Linked DNA regions of Tamandua tetradactyla. The protein of the gene in region 2 interacts with the protein of the main gene of each other region in a pairwise test. Links are inferred from orthologs where the notes say so. Each region holds a gene or a part of one and is shown on either strand. Other genes may lie near its edges. The genes, in order: CAPN3 and OSGIN1.

Region 1 (8,389 bases), on a different chromosome or scaffold from region 2:
TTATTTTGCCATTGAGCCACACTCTTGTCTCTGGCTGTCCTGGAAATTTGGTTCTCGGTTCTACTAGAGATGATCAGACCCACACAACCTGGACCATGCAGATAACTAAATTATAAGGCAAGGTATCTTGGAGGTACCACAACATAGTGGACACATCATCACTTTTGACTGAAGGAAAACTGGGTTTAAATTATGACCCCTTTGCTTACTACTTTGGGCCTCAGTTTTCTCTTCCATAAAATGGGGAAGAACATTTCTGCTTTTCAGGGTTGTAGTGGGGACTTACTAAAAGAGAAGAAACCTAGTAAAACATCTGGCTGATAATGGGCATATAGTACATATATACCTTATGATCATTATGGTTAATTTTTTTGATCTCTTAATAAATGCTCTGCACAGTGTGGTAAGCACCTCAAATAGAAGATCAATTGTCACAATAGCCTTCTGAGATAGGTTCTGTTTTCATCTCCATTGGAGGATGAAGAAACTGAGGGTCTAAGAGGTAACGACTTCCCCAAGGTCACACAGCTGACAAGTGGTGGAAATGAGATGTGAACACCAGGAGCCTCTTTTCTGAGCCCAAACTCTTAACCACTATAACTGACTGCTTCCAGGTGACTAAAGCCAATTCTACCAAAACCGACGCCCATGGTGTATTCATTCAGCAGACATGGCAGTATTCAGAGCAGGGAGTCATATTAGAGTTACAGAGGGAATGATTACTGCTCAGGGCATTTTTTTCTCAGTGTGTTGGGACACTGCTCTGTCTTACTCCCCTTTGCTCAGAAGTGAAAATGGTGGTGACTGTTGGGTGGGAGGGACAGGACATGTAGGTTTGAACACTGGTGAATGTGGATGTGTGGTTAGGGGTGTGGGGGTATGGGGGGTTACTGGGCCAAGGTGGCCTGACAGAAAGGAGAGTAAGGAAGGGGTCCTGTCTGTGATTCTGCAGACTGCCACAGCAGCAGTTGGGACTAAACGATGTCTCTGAATACTTGGATTGGTGAAGACTGTACATATAAGTCACTTGCTTTGTCTGGACCTGGGTCACCTCACCTGTAAAGTGAAGGGGCTGGATCACATCTCCAGTGTTCATTCTCAAATTCCATACTCTAATTTATGCTAATGAACCAAGAGACATAATTTCCCTGGGGTGAAATTTTGGCCCATGGGTGATTCAGGATTTTTATGTTGTTGATGGAGGTAGTGGAAAAAACTTGGCACAATCAGGTCTGGTGCTCCTCATTTCATGCAGACCCTGACAGAATAAATTTTGTTACCCAGGACCCATCAACTGTCTAGAGCATACTAGACCTCAAATCATTTTTTGTTTTGTTTTTTTTTGCTTTGTTTTTGCATGGGTAGGCACTGGGAATTGAACACGGGTCTCCGGCATGGCAGGTGAGTATTCTGCCACTGGGCGACTTTAAAAACCTTTTTAAAAATATAATTTGCAAGTCTAGATAATAAAACTCAAAACTTATCAAAAATGTCATTAAGAATGGCATTAGTAAGCAACAGTATTGAAAAATACCCTTTGTTAGGAACTTAGGAGATGACCCCTGAGCAGAATTTTGAAGGAAGAATGAATCAGATAAAAACAGGAAGGACAGATGGCACCATGGATGCCATAGGCAAAGGCCTTGAGGTGTGAGAAAACTTGGAACAATAGAGCAGTCGAATAGTCAACACAGCTGTGTCAGTGTGTGGGGGAAAGAGGGAAAAGATGGGACTGGACAGGTAGGTAAGGGACAGCTGGAGAAGGTCCAGCTAGAGAAGGTCCTATAGATCAGCTAAAGCAGAGTTTGGGCTTACCGCGAAAGACACAGGAGATCAATGAAGACATTTCAGCAGGGCTGTGGCATGACCGAGTACTCTGGCAGCAAGTTAGTGGCTGAGTCAGGGAATGGAGTTCTTTACAGCTTTCTCCCCTAACTGAGGGCTCTTAGGACAGTCATGGGCCTTACCGTATAACTTCAGGAGAGGAAAGAAGCCCCGGGGAACGCACAGGACGAGATGGGGGTTGTTGTGTATATCATCTCAGATTAATGAAAACATGACTTGGAACCTCAGCAGTCAGCTGAGGAACAGCACTGGGCTTCAGCGCCACGACATTTCTTCAGAAAGGGACTAGGCTAGCTCTCTTCGCTGTAGGATCACATAGCTCAGGGAAGTTTTTGCTAATTAGTTATCACTCCTGTTCAATGCCTTTCTTCCTCTCAGGACTCTAGGCTTCCCGAGAGCAGGGATTTTTGTATTTCTTATTCAGTGCTATCTCCCCAATCAACTGTCCAGTCTGGCATGGGGAAATCTCAATAAATACTTCTTGAATTAAGAAGAGTCCCACTGCAGGCATGATCAGAGAAGGCAGCCAGGGGCATATTATTTTCCTTCTGGCAGGTCACTGTAACTGAAACCCAGAGGCTGGAGGAGCTACCTAAAAGAGAAGGAGTTTTAATCCAAACTCTTGCACATACTCACAGGATATACTTCTCTTTGTTGTGCCTTTATTCTTCATTTATGAGGTGAGGTGTTTTAGAATGACATGGCTACTAGCAAATTAAGGAACCACATCATGACTTTAGCCCCCCAAATTCGAAGAATCTTATAAAGATGCAAGAGATTGAAGCAAGGAAGAGTAGAGCTGGACTGTTTGGGGTTTGTTCTGGGAAAGGAATATTTACTTTTATAGGATGAATTAAACCATCGTTCCAATTCCTAATTTAAACAAAGCAAGATTATTCCAGAAAGAAGGGAGAGAGAGAGAGACAGAGTGACAGAGAGACCGAGACAGAGAGAAATGAACAGGGAGAGGGAGAGAAAGAGAATCAGGCCCTGGCTCCCTTCTTCTTAAAGCCGATTTTGCAGTGATCTGATAATATCTAAGACTTCTCCCTCTCCTCCCCCTTCACACTTGAGGACAGAAGCCAGCAGGGTCAAGCCAAGATTCTTCCCCCAGTGCCCATGTCATAGCTGGGCTGCTGGGAGGTGCTGAGTGGGAGGTCTTCTCTGAGGGGAAAAAACCCAACCAGCAACCAATAAGCTACTCACCGGAGGTCTCTTCCAGACGAACTGGATGGGGAACTTCTGGCTATAAAAGAGAGAAGTCTCATCCGGTGGGAACTCAGGATCCAGATAAAGAACCTTCTTTTCTAGACATTTCTTGTGGAGCTGCTCAAAGGTCTTCTCTTTCACTCCGATAATAGGAAAATTACGGCTGATGATGGCTGAATAGATGCCATTTGCATTTCCACCCCCGGCCTCAGTGCTCTTGCCCTGGGCTGGGTAGGGAACCAGCCCTGGAGACCTGGGTTCAGCCCCTGTCTTTGGGGCTACACTCGCACTAATGACAGTCGGCATGGCAGGCAGCTTTGGAAGGAACAGGTTTTTAAAGAAAACAAAATACTGTTACCTCCAAGGAAAGGAAGCAACTATAAAGGGGAAGTTGGAGTGATTCTGTCATCTGAGAGAAAATGTCCAATTCAATTCAAAGTTGAAAACCCATCAGAAGTTCGTCCAATTTATGTCCATCTTAAAATCTATGCCTTGATCCTGAAGCCTTAAGTTCCTCCTGAGGAAGGAGCAATGAAGGATTTCTGAAGCAATGTTGACCTGGGGGGCTCCTACCAGCAGCAAGCATGCCTCAGGGAAAGCAAGAGAGTGAGGGTTGGGTTTCAGTGGCCCAAAGAAGCTTGAGCCAGGAAAACTAAAAATAGACATGAAGAAAGATCATGAGTATGAAAGCAAGAGAAGGGTTTGCATGAGACTAGCCTATGTGGTTGAGAGAAAAGGATCTGGCCAGGGACATTTTTGTATTGCCAATAAATGCTGGTGTTGTAAGGAAATGGGGAAATATCCGAGTAACTAAGTTGAACATCAAAAATTAGCAAAGAACTGCTCATGTGGTATTGAATAGGTGGTTCTACAGACTATCAAATAATTGGCTGCCAAATTAATGGAAAACAATAATTTTGACTAGCAAGGGTGAATGTGAAATAGTAAATTCCAGGGGAACAGTCTAGGTATTTTTGAGAACACGCTTTTACTCTGTAAAGCTCCAGGATATCAGAATATTGCTTAGTATTGGATTTGCTATTTTTTTCTAGAATGTTCTGGTATCAACATTCAGAGGTACTGTTTTGTGGAAAATACCACTTGGTAGAGTCTTAGATTGAGAAAAACCCTTAGTTTCCTTTTGCCCACCTACTTGACCTAGCTACCCCTTGCATCCCTTCACCCCCAAAATAAAGACTGGGACTAAATCCTTCCCAAAAAATGCACCCGGTTATATTTTACATATTGATTACTTAAGCCTGACACTAGGTGTTGAGTCAGAAGCTGGAATTAGATACTGACTTAGATTGGTCATCAAGCCCCAGGTGTCATACTATAAGTTGGTTTCAGGGTTCTTGGAAAAGAGCACCAGGGGAATTGCCTGCCTGGCCTCTATCTTGGCTTCTACACACGCAGCTGTTCTCTGTGCTGTAAGGACATGGCCACATCCCAAGTCTGGCTGAGTGAAGGCTTGTCTCTGATTGCAGCCATGCCTGTTCCCGGGTGACCAGACTCACCAGATCAAGGTTAGAGGCTACAGGAGAAAGTGGGACGTGATAAGTGATAAAGGGAATAATATCAGGCTTATGATCCCTGGGGTGACAGCTTTGAGGGACTCCACATCTGGGGCTTTTAGGAACCATCAGACTAAACTCCTGTCCCTCTAAGGAAATAGCCAAGGACATTTAGTAGTCTTGGAGAGGCAGAACAGAGAGCAGCCTCTGGAGGCTGACTGCTGAGTTTCAAAGTCTGGGTCTGCTGCTTACTGTCTGTGTGTCTGTGTAACATTAGGTGAGCTACTTCTTCCTTTTTTCCTATGTCTTTGTTTTCTCACCTATAAAATGGGCATAAAGATAGTCACTCTATTACTGGATTGGTATAAGGATGAAACAGGCCAACTTTTTTTTTTCAATAAAAAGATAAAATTCTATTTCTACATTGTATTACCCTATCAGCAATGGATAAAAATGCTAATCATCAACAAATACTCCCTGGGCCTTCTAAGAACAGGGTCTCTTGGATTCTATAATTTTAGGTGACATGTCTGTATGATACTTCTTTTTGATCTCATCTCTTTTAGAGCTGTCAAGAAGAAATGAGCTAAACAGTGGAATCTGAGAAAAATAGTTCTTAGCCAGGATTAAACAGGCTAATTTTGTAAAACATTTACAATAGTACCTGGATTGTCTTCACTCAATAAATGTTGTTCTTGCTATGATGAGAGAAGACTTGGATTTAGTATTACCTCGGGATTAGATCGGACTGAATGATACATTCGCTCATTTATGCACATCAGCATGCACTCTATGAGCATCTACCCAGCAATGGATGCACCAGGCCCAGGCTCATACAGTACACGGTGTTTCCTCTAGAAGCCGACATTCTGGCCTGCACTAAACAAACATCTCCAAAGACTGGCTTCCATCCTCAAACTCACCAATAGCATGGACAGCAAAGGTGGGTTTTCCTTCTTCCACCTTCATGAGTTTTGGTCTCCAGCTCAGTGCTCTGTATCACAGCACTGACCTACGTTTTGTTTTTGTATAGTAAACCTCCAGACTAGCCCCCAAGACCTTAAATTCTGTAAAGGTGGAGACTAGGTACTTGTTTTACCCTCAAGGTTAAGTATATAGAAGGCCCTGAATGAATATATGTTGATATCTGTTGAATGAAATTTCCCTAGGTGAGGAGACATTTCGTACACTTTTTAACTGCTTTGCCAATGGAATTTCTTGGTTGATTTGACCCCTAGTGGAGGAATTATCTCTAGGCCACACATTTCTTTTGTTTGCTGTCTAAACCCCAGCTGTTCGGTAACCAAGATGAATGTTTGACATGGGTGAGCCCCTTGTTTTAAGAGGATGGAGATATCAAACTCATAAAGTACAAGATGCTATTCAATTTGGTTTATCAATATTTGTGGATAAAAACCCTTCTCAGATTCGCAGATCCAAGCTCAAGGTTTATTGAGCTTCACAGCTGGGGCAACTCATGCTATTAGTGAGAAATCCAATCTGAGCTCAGGAACAAAGGAAAGATAATGAGCAAATAGACAGCTGCAAATCTCAATTCTCAGAAGCCTCCTCAAAGAAGTGGTTTTAATAACATATTTCAGCCAAGGACACGCAATAGCTGTGGGTGGAATAGTTACCGTTGTACGAATAAGGCCAACAAATAGCACCATATCCTTATCTTTTCCACCAATAAATATTTCTTTGATTCAACACTATTGGGGCAATGTATTTGTTTATAATTGTAACATGTACATGAGTTAGCCACTTCACATAATATTTTAAAACTTTTTATTTAAAAACAAGTTAGACTCACAAAAGCATTGCAAAGATAGTACAGGGTTCCTGTATACCCTTCACGCAGCTTCTCCTAATGTTTATCCCTTATATAACCATGGTATAATCATCAAAACTAAGAAATAACATTGGTACAGTACTGTTAACTATACCACAAAGACTTTATTCTTTTTCTTTGTCCAGTTTTCCCTCTAATGTCCTTCTTCTGTTACAGGATCCAATCCAGGATTTTGCATTGCATTTAATTGTCATGTCTTCTTAGTCTTCTCCAATCTCTGGCAGTTCCACAGTGTTGCCTTATCTCTCATGACCTCGACACTTTTGGAGAGAGCTTGCTGGGTATTTTGTAGGTCTCTTCTCTCAATTCGGGTTTGTCTGCTATTTTCTCATGATTGGACTGAGGTTATGGATTTGGGGGAAGAATATCACAGATCCTCATCAAATCATAAATGGGTGTACATGATAGTGATATGTTTTGTTACAGGTGATGTCAATATTGATCACTTGGTTAAGGTGGTGTTTACTAGGTTTCTCCACTATAAAGTTACTATTTTCTCCTTTCCATACACAAAGAATATTTTTAATCTGTATGACAACCTACAAATTTGACTAATTCCATTTTACAATAGAGGAACTCTGAGATATCTGCTCTACCTTTACAGTTACATCATGGAAAACTCATAGAATTTTAAGAGTCTCTCTCTTATTTGACAAACGAGGAAATCAAGACCCAGACAGGTTAAATGAAATGGCCAAGATCACTGAGCCAGTTCATTCAGACTCAAACTAGACCCGAGATCTGCTGATTTCCAGCGTAGAAATAAATGGATGACCAAGACTCCATTAATGTGAATTATGCGTAAAGATCTCTGAATCCTTGCATATAAAGAGTTAATGCTCTCCTTTCCCTACCTCTGATTGGAGAGGAATCTAACACCACCCACCCTGCTGGAAATAACTGCCAAGATGCAGCTGTCTAATTCTAGTTGGCATTGCTATGGTACTGGCAGCCTTTAGCAAGGCTGATCATAAGACAGGCAGGTCTGATTTCAGGAGCCACTGTCTTCTCTTCCTTATTTCTCCTAGAATGCTAGCTACATGGCTGCCACTTTTTGTGGTTAATATGGTAATCTATTTCTAGTGGACTGCTGATAGCTTTCTACCCCTAGAGAAGTTATTTTAGTCTAGAGTGCTCCTGTGAATTGTGCTTAGAGGCAGAGTGGATCCTTTTTATTGTCATAGGAATTCCATTACCCAGAAAGCTTTTAGGTAGGATGGTTAATTACCAGCTAAACCAGTAAGCTCCAGATCCAGATGTTTGTGTGCTTTGAGTGTGTTTCTGCTGCCTATCATTATAACCAGTTATTGAAAAAGATGTGAAAAGTGAATGGATTCTGCACACAGACCAAATTCAGAATTTTAGTCTTCCCTGTAGCTACAGAGGTCTGACAGCTGGCTTTAACAAACCAAGCTATAAGGCTCTGCAAAACCTCAAGGCAAATTCATGGCAACAGCCCGTTTTCTGCTTTAGGGAGCCTTTGGGGGAAATGGCTCTGGGATTGGCTCTGGTCATTGGATCATGACCTTGGAGTTCATTTAGTTATGGTTCTGAAGTGAGCCACACCCCCAGAACATAATTAGTTCTATAGGTTGAACTTAAGTGAAACAAACCTCCTTGGGCAAGGAATATCTTGCTATCCAGTTATATTGGCACTTAGATCCTGGGATCACTTCCATTAGGAACTGGGAGAATAAGGAAAGTGACAAAACTGGCCTTTTATGTGCATAAGGACTTCCCTTGTCTCTACAGGTTATTTGTCCTAATTAAGTGCTAGTCATAAAAACATAGTTTTTAGTGTTAACACCCTCCTCAGGTCTTCTGCTCAGAAAAAACCTCTGTGGTGAAGCAACACACGGTGGTGCCACAATATGTATGATACATTGGGTTGGGCGCTGATGGCCTAGTGCTCGGAGTATGGTATTTGTGTTCTCTGGGGCAGGGAACTTGAATAGAGAACTTTGCTTGG
Region 2 (8,884 bases):
AGCTGTGCCCGCAAATACATTTGGGATTTGGCCACTTTGTGCCATGCCAGCTGTCGCCCCCTCCCAGCCTAGGATTACTGCAAAGCCTCCTGACCATGCCCCGCCTTGTCCCTTACAGCAAATTCTCCACATGGGAACGAAGCCAGATCCTGCCCCTAGCTCTCTGACCACTACCCCTCTCACCCAGAGTTATCTACAGGTCTTTGCTGACCCGGCATCACTTCTCTGACCTCCTCTCCCATCTCTCCACTTCCCCGGGCCTCTTTGCTATTCCTGGAACAAGCTGAACATGTTCCTGCCTCAGGACATTTGCACTGGCCCTGAATCCCAAATGCTCTTCCCTCAGCTATCCACCTGACTTGCTTCACTCAGGCCTCTGCTCAGTTGTCATCTCAGTGAGGCCTTCTCAGGCCACTGGTATGAGCCAGTAACTCACCCAGCTTTATTTTCCTACATGGTTCCCAACGCTACGAATTATACACTTATTTATTCATTTGTTTGTCTGAGTCCTCACCCTGGGACGCAAGTTCTGGGAGGGTAGGTGTTTGTATCCTGTTTACTGGTGTACCCCAAGGGCCTAGAACAGAGATTGGCACACAGTAGCTGCTCAGTAAGTGTGTGTGGTGTAAAAGGGCCTACAGCATTCCTTAAGCATGACCATGGTCCCCTGGCACCTCCCACTGGGACTGACCTTCCTGTCCCAGGAGACAACGTCAGAAGGGTCACTCCAGCAGGCACCTTCCAAGCCCTGGATCGCCAGGAGCTGCCACTTGGCTTTCTCTCTGGCTGAGACCAAGGAGAGCACTGGATTGGGAGTCAGGGGGCCGGAGCTGGGTGCCTTCCTGGCCACGAGATGGTGGCAGGTCACATTCCATCTGCCCGAGAGCACAGGGGAAGCACATCCAGGGGCCGTCCCGGCACAGCTCACCGATCAGGGGAGGGGGGACACACCCACAGAGGACAGCCGCAAATCCCACGAGTGCTGGTGGCCAGGCACGGGGAAGCTGAGAGAGTGGCTAGGAGGGTCGCAGAGATTCTCTGCAAGAGTGACCAGAGCCGAGCCAAAACAGGCTGTAGGTGGCAGGGCTGGGGGCAGGGGGAATGCTTCTAGGCCCAGTCACAAATCCTGGAAGTGGCTCGGCAGGTGGTTCTCAGGCCGCCTCGCCGGTGGGGAGGGAGAGGGAGGCTGGAGAGGAAGAGGCTGGCCCCATGGCAGAAGCTGATGTTGCCCGAGGGTGCTGGAACCTGTGAAGGGTTCAGCAGGATGGAGATGGGCCAGGCAGGGTTCCAGAAAGGCCACTGGGGCAGAAGGAGAGGGCAAAGTGGGAGGCAGCGAGGGCAGGCAGAGGCTGTTGAGGTCGGGGGCGAGGCGATGGTGGCGTCGGGGAGAGAAGCAGAAGGGTCTGAAATGGCGCAGAAGCAAACGGCTGGGGCTTTGGGTCCCTCACCTGAAAACAAGGGGGTCAGACTGGGCTCTCAAAGGACTTCACATCTCTAACAGCTTACAAAGTTTATGCATCCACTCCTCTCCCCACCCTTTTACTAATGAGTGGAGGGGCGCAGGGAGGAGAGGCCCAATTAATTTTCCATGTCCATGCGTAGACACCATCATGGCTTGCAGAGAAGGGAGGGAGGGGGAGTGGGTTGCATGCATCCCCCTGCATCCTAACCTGCGGGCGTGACCTTATTTGGAGAAAGGGTCTTTGTAGATGTAATTAAGTTGAGGACCTCCAGACAAAGTCGTCCTGGATTCTCTAGGTGGGCCCTAAATCCAGAGACCGATGTCCAACTAAGGAACAGAAGACAGAGATGTAGAGGGGAGGCTGTGGGAAGATGGGAGAGAGACGGGAGGGGCGTAGCCACAAGCCAAGAGACACTGGGGTGGGGAAGGGTGGGGCACCCAGAAGCTGCACGTGGCTGAGCAGGACCCTCTCTCAGAGGCTATGGAGGCACAGGACACCTCCATTTCAGGTTCTGCCTCCAAGACTGGGGGAGAAGATCTGTTCTAAGTCCCCAACTGCCTGCGGTGATGGGTTATTGCCAGGGCTTTGCCAGGCAACTGCAGCCCAGGGAAAGGCGTTTTTATTTAGGTTAGGGCTGTGAACTCCGTTCTAGCCCAGTTGTGAGCCCTTCCGTCACTCCTGGGATTTAGAGAGGCCCGGGAGGGAGACCCAGGCATGGGGTGCAGGGAAGGGCAGCCCAGGGGAGCACGAGAGCCCTGGCCCCTGCCTGCCCTGGCCGGGGCACCGATCAGCCTTTCTGGCAGCACATCCTCTGCCTTTGTTTGCCAAAGGTGGCTTCGGGGTAGAGGCAAGTGCGGCCCTGCTCCACCTGGCTGCACCTGCCAGCGGCTGCTCCCTCTAAGCCGGGGACGGGCAGCAGACAGTCTGGGAGGTGAGTTCCTCTTCCCCATCACAGGCCAGCGGCCACCGGTGTGAACCCGAGCGAGCGTGCTCGGGCCGTTGGCCTGCAGAGGGGCAGGTGGGAAGACGTCTGCTAGCAGACCCGGGGTGAGGGATCACCCCTTAACCTGCTCCTACTGAGCTCAGCACTTCCCCGCTTTACTCGTTGGGTCCTCCCAGCATCCCCACGAGGTAGCTGCTGCCCCAGGCACTTTACATGGGGAAACTGAGACACGCTGACCTTCCCCATGTCAGCCAGCCAGAAAGGCGCACAAGAGGGGCGCAGCGGCTGTGGCCTCGGGCCCCTGTGTGTCGCAGGCACTGACCTCCCATGGCTGGGAGTGGGGCTGACCCTGCCAAACTGCAGACCCGCAGATAGGCGGCAGGGGACGGGAGAGGCTTGGGGCGACTCAGTGAGCTCCTGAGTGCTGGGGAGGGGACCGGGGGCTTGGGGTGCAGGAGATATCCCACAGTGACATGGCAGGTGTGGGGCGTGTGCTTTGGCCACTGTCCAAGCCCAGCTTTCTGTCCCCTGCTGATGGGTCTGGGACAGGGCTGGTGCGGCCCCTGTGCAGGGGTTCTGATCGGGTCTGATGATTGGAGCTGGGTTTCGGCTTTGTTCAGAGCCCCCAGGATTCTAATGTGCAGTGAACCCATCCTCAGAGGCCTGGGTTCAAACCCCAGCCCTGCCTGCCTTGGCAGGACCGGGGAGCAGGAACCAGGCAGTGCCTTGAATGGGACGAGCTGGACAGGGAGGGCTCGTGCCTTCGAGAACCGAAGCTCCCTAGGCCAGAGCCCAGTGCGGGGGCGGGGGGCTGCAGTTTATCCTGTGGGCCGCCAGCGCACACCTGGTGCCCAGAGCCTTCCTGGGGGGGTTGACCCCCGACACCCGGCGCCTATGGCCTGAGCTGCTCGGGGAGACCTGATGCCAAGGACGAGACCCCAGAAGGAGAACCCACCCCAGGCCCCCGTGCCCCCTCCTTGATACTCCTCACCATGTCCCAGGCCTGGCCCATGGTGGCGAGGGGATGGGGGCTGGTAAGGGCTGTGTTCTGGGGAGTGAGGGGTGCTGGGCAGCACGGCTGGGCCTGGCTGGGAAGCTGGTGGTCAGCTCTGGGTGCAGCAACCATGGCTGGTGGGCTTCAGTATATGGGGGACCCCTGCTAGCACCATTTACTGCTGGGGAGACTGAGGGTCAGGGGTCTGGGCACTTTTCCGAGATCTCGGTGAGGCAGTGGTGGCACTGAACTCCACCCAGGGATGGCGGGACAGGGGGCCTGGTTCCCTCCCCTGCAGAGCGCCTCCTGCTCTCTGGGCCGGGGGTCTGCACCTAGCCCTTCCAGGTACCCCCACCAGGCCCCAGGGCTCCCCCAGGGCACGTCTACCCCCCCATGGCGGCCCTCTTACCTGGTGGTGAGTGGGCTGTGTGCAGTGGGGATCGCAGGCATTGGCTGGGAGGAGAGCAGGCAGCAGTGGAGCTGGCCCTCCCCTGGGGGCCCCCCTGGATGTGACCACAGGGGAGGTGGGGATAAGAGGCCAGGCTGGCCTTTTTGTGGCATCACAAAGTCCTGCCTGGCGGCCGGGCCACCTCAGAGGAGCTCTGTCCGGCTCCTTCCTCTGCCGCCCTGCCAGGCTGGCCTCCACCTCCCCAGGGACATCCGGAAAGGGGCACACCTGGCCAAGCACATGAGTGGTGCCTGTAGGTGGGCACTGAAGGGCTCTGGGGGCAGACACCCCACCTCGGAGGGGCTTGTCTGCACCTGTGGTGAAGGGTGGTGTTGGGGGCCAGGTGAGCACAGGGGTGCAGAAGTCAGCAGGGAGAAGGGTGAACTGGGAGGGGAGGGAGAAAGGCAGACAGACAGACTTGCAGCAGCTGCCCTCTGGCTGGGGGGCCCTGGCAGGTCGCCGAAGCTGAACCACCTGAATTATCTACAGGGCCCGGCCATCCCGGTGCCAGGGGACAGCTGTTCGGGAACCAGGGCTCGCAGCAGCATTGTCCCCAACGGCTGAAATGTCGAAGCATCCCGAGGTCATGGCAGATGGATGAAGAAACAAAGTGAGAACACTGGAGTTTCACTCAGCTGCGAGGAGGGAAGTTCTGTTACATGCGACAACCCGGATGGACCTTGAAAGCATAATGTAGTGTGCAATAAGCCAGACACAAAAGGACAAGTATTGTGTGAGCTCCCAGTTGTGAAATAACTAGAATGTGCTGATTCACAGAGACGGAGCATAAATTAGAGGTGGCTGGGGGTGGTGGCCGGGGGATGGCTGGGGTGGGGTGGGGGTGGCAGGGGGGAGAGTTTCTACTTGGGGGATGGCAAAGTGTGGGCAATGGGGGGCGCACAGCACTGTGATTGTAATGAACCCCATTGAGCTGCACATCCAAGAGTGGCTAAGATGGGAAATGTTATGTTGCATATCTGTTACCACAATCAAAATGTTAAAACATTAAAATTGTTTTAAATTTAAAATGCCTGAACCATGGCTCAGACACAATCCCACCTGGGAGGTCACCTGCCCACAATGTGCCCTGGAGGTGGGGGGAGCGGGAACTAGGAGTTCCTGTTGCAGGGGGGAAACTGAGGCAAGGCTGACATGTCCAGTGCCCTTGAGGCTTTGCATGGAGAGAGTCTGGGTTCTACCTCCCACCCTTTGCCACTGCATCCTTGGCCTCCGGGGATACCCCCCACCCCCAACACCTGGTCAGGGCACTGCCATCCTGGGTCCCCCCCACTTCAAGGGCAGGGAGTTCCCCTCCTCGGTGCTGACACCCCTTTGGGGCCCAGGCTCCTCCACAGACAAACCCGAGGTAGGTGGAGGTGAGCCGTGTCTGCTGAGAGCCCTTCACGGGCTGGAGGACCGGGAGGCCAGCGGGCAGGGTGCTCTGTGTGGACCCCCCTCGAGACACGGCCCCAGGCCCTGGGGACCTTGTTTCTCAGAGGCGCCCATCCGCAAGGGGCTGGCTGTGCTGCCGAGGAAGCGCGCCTGCCTTCTCTGTGTGCATCCTGAGGCAGTGGGCATCCGTCTCCGGCCGTACCCCCAGGAGGTCTTCCTGAACTGACCCCAGCACGTGGCCTCCGAGCCCAGGGTGAGTTTGTGCCGTGATTTTAGGGGAGCACGCATCCGAGGAGATGGTGGGTGAGCTCAGAGATGCTCCAAAGCCATGTGCATCCAGGGAAGGCGGGTCCTGCAGGCCTAGGAAGGGCAAGTGTCCACCTCTCCCCAGCAGCAGGAGCGGCAGTGGGAGAAGCTAGACCACAGAAGGTTCTAGAAGCGGCTCTGGGCTGGCAGAATCCGGAAGCCTTGTGGCTGCTGCAGTGGCCTCCTCAAGAGAAGGAGAGTGGCCAAGGGCCTGTGGGGGGCTGCTAGGCCCCAGGCCCCATGGCCATGCAGAGGGACCCTCAATTCGTCACGTCCAACATTTTCCTTATTTTTTTCCCCAGCAGCCACAGAACCATTTTAATAAACAAAGATCTCACTTGGAATGCCAATTAATAAAAAAGCAGACCAACCAAAAGATGGCTCTTCTTTGGCTTTCATTTGTTTTGTAAATTCAGATGGAGACGTTTACTTACTGCCAGTTCAGTGAGGGTGGCCGGCTGGTGGTGATGAAGCCTGGATTAGGGCCCACAGCTGGGTGCTGGGGAAACGCACCGGCGCCTTCAGCCTGACCAGCTGCCCTCTGCTCAGCGTGCACAGCTGTGGTGTGATGTCAGTGGAACAGATGACTGAGGATGCCGGGTGTGTGCAGGGCCCTGGCGCCTGCATGGGGGATGAAGCTCAGGCACACAGAACCCCGCCCTTAGATGGGTACCGTGACCCGAGGGAAGCCCTTGGTGTCCTGCGCCCGACAGGTGGCTGTCACCAGTTCTGACATCAGCGTCTCAAGCCCTCCCTGGGCTCCGTGCAACATCTGCCCCTGGCGGCAGCAGCTGACCCCCCACCTTCCCAGTCCTTGGATGCAGCTGCCTTCAGGGGTGTCAGGCGGGGGGGGAGGGAAGCATGGGCTCCGGCGGCATGGGGATAAGGCTGTGCGGTGGTGGGTGCTGGGCTGGCACTGAGGGTGGGTTCCAGGTGGCAGAGATGCCCGCCTGTCTGTTAATGGATTAACTTGGGGCATGTGTTGGCAAGATGCAGCGCCCTCTACAGTGTGGGCCCCTGGCAGCACCCCTACAGCCTGGCCTGAGTCTAAGTGTGTCCGGGGACTGCCACTATGTTTAATTCCTTGCACGCCTCTTGGAAGCACTTTCGCCACCAGCTGCTTCCCTGCAGGGTGGAGCTACACCGGCCCAGAGTCTTGGGTGAAAACCTTAGCTTTTGGCCACGAGGCTGTTTTGAGGATGATGAAAAGGGGTGAAGCCAGGGCCGGGGGACCAGCGCTGACTCAAGCCAGCTGCCTGCGCCCGCGTCTCCCCCGGTGCACGGGCCTGAGGGCACACTCTGCTCTGCATGGACAGAAAGCTGCAAGTGACCGAGGCGCCCAGCACATCTCCCCGCATGGGCGCCCTCGCGGGGCAGCGGGGGAGTTCCGACGCAAGCGGGTTGTGGGCGCCAAGGCGCTCTTCTTTGCTACGTTGTATTTGGGTGGAGGGTGCTTTTAGTGCGTTTGAAAAATGAGTGCAAATGAGATTTTTGAAAGAAAATTTACCAAGTGCCCGTGGGGCTGTGGAAGGGGCGCAGAGCTGCGTCTGGCCGCAACCCAGCCGACCTCCACCCCTCAGCGCCAAGCCGGGCGGTCCCCACGCGGCCACAGCGCCGCAGCCTCTCCTGCCCGTCCTGCTCTCTGTCCCAGCCCCTCGGAAGGACCCGGCCTTAGAGAGGCCCGAGGGGAAAGCTGTTTGGTGTGTCGGGAGACAGACACCTTCACAGACTGCTTCCCCGTGTGTGAGATGTTTGCACAAAACAATAACCTCATTTAATCAAAGTGGCCGAGTTACTCTTTCTGAAGTCTCCTTCATTCAGAAGCCTGGGGGACTCTGAGTCCTCAGCGAGGACGTCTGCTAGGCTCAGCCCGTCCTTTCAGGCCCTGACGCTGACTAGGAGCTCCTGGTGGCGGGAGCCGAGAGCGCGGGCCGGGGGGTAGGAGACGAACAACGGCACTGGAGCCGGATGCCTCGGCTTGGTGATGTCTACACCGCCCGTCTCTGCGCTCCGACCACAAGTGCTGCACGCTCAGGACCGCCACTGCTACAAGCCAGCGGCCCCGGCAGTTGGCAAACAACCAGCCTTGGGAGGTGGCCCCGCAGCCCTGCGGGCTGTGCCACTGGGCTCCTTGCCTGGCCCGGGGACCGGCGAGGGGCGGCTCTCGGGGACATTTGCCCAGGACCGTGTGGCTCGGCCAGGACACGCTGATGCCAGCGGGGGAGGTCGAGGCACTTGGAAAGCGCGGGGATACCGCCCCCTGGTGGGCACCGGGTGACAACGCCCAGCATGACCGCGAACCTGCTCCCCCCACAGGCGCCCCTCTCCAGCCAGCACCTTAGGCGCCACCTTGTCCACTGGGAACCTGATGTGCAGCAGGCCAAGGAGGGCGGAGCCACTGCCACTAGCACCCCCAGGACTTGAATCGGGGGGCCGGGGGGTCACCTTCACAGGGGGCTTGGGACCCTGCCCTCCATTGTGGCCACCCCAGGGAAGGGCCAGCAGATTAGGCAGGTGAGGCGCTCAGGCCAGGCGCTGGACTACAGGGAGGGACTCGGGTGTGCGTTTCCACTCCCTTTCTGCTTTTAAAGGGGCTCTTAGGAGGTGTGGGGTCCACACCTAGTCCTGCCAGCTCTTGTCCTGGTGTGTCCGTCTGTCCCGTCCCGTGCAGGCTGCTGTGGTCCTTCCTCACGCACCTCAAGGCTGGGAGCACCTGACACGGAACCACACTAACCAGGTGGCGGTTGTGGTCGATTCCTAGGAAGGAACCGGAACTGGGGGAAAAGCCATCCTGTGTGGCTCAGTGGGGGGGCTGGCTCTGCTCCCAAACGGCACCCCTGGAGGGGCAGGGCTCCACGGGGAACAGGCAGGGCCAAGGGCCAGGAAGAGGCAGCCTTTTGGGGCTCCAAGCCTTGAATGAGGGGCATCTAGGGCATGGTCCAAAGACCAGAGGCCCCTGGCTATGCCTGGACTGGAGGAGACCCTGGTGCCTGGGTGACCCTGCAACTACCTGTGCCAGGAGTGTGCTGAGCGCTGTGCCACAAGGGTTGAGAAAACCAAGCCTGAGCTCTGCTCTCAGGGAGCATCCAGTCTAGGGAGAGCCTAGAAGGTAAAATGTCTCACCGAGAAGCTCCTAGAAAAAGAGGCACCCAGAGCCAGGAGAGCAAATCACGGGAGGCCAGTGAAAGCTCCTGGAGGGGGGTCAGCTGATGAAGTTTGGAGGGTGAAGAGGTGTTATTCAGGAAGAGGGGAGGGAACAGCATTTCAGGCGGAGGGAACAGCACATGCAGGCAGAAGGAGGGAGCCTAGTGGGTCCCAGAAGCTGAAGGAAGGCAGCT

Evidence for each region.
Region 1: the proteins of OSGIN1 (region 2) and CAPN3 interact in binary tests that used the Homo sapiens proteins (3 or more experiments, as listed by UniProt). The two-hybrid records come from large-scale screens. The link is inferred for Tamandua tetradactyla from reciprocal best matches to the Homo sapiens genes OSGIN1 and CAPN3.

Annotation. Positions count from the first base shown.
Region 1 is NC_135340.1:56,185,054-56,193,442, reverse strand, and holds the start of CAPN3 (calpain-3), read right to left. Parts: upstream 3,692-8,389; 5' UTR 3,361-3,691; coding exon 3,052-3,360; intron 1-3,051. UniProt on the Homo sapiens protein: Calcium-regulated non-lysosomal thiol-protease. Proteolytically cleaves CTBP1 at 'His-409'. Mediates, with UTP25, the proteasome-independent degradation of p53/TP53.
Region 2 is NC_135342.1:78,630,400-78,639,283, reverse strand, and holds the start of OSGIN1 (oxidative stress-induced growth inhibitor 1), read right to left. Parts: upstream 3,930-8,884; 5' UTR 3,810-3,929; intron 1-3,809. UniProt on the Homo sapiens protein: Monooxygenase catalytic activity. Involved in regulation of cytokinesis; promotes RHOA activity, probably acting locally at the midbody in late cytokinesis.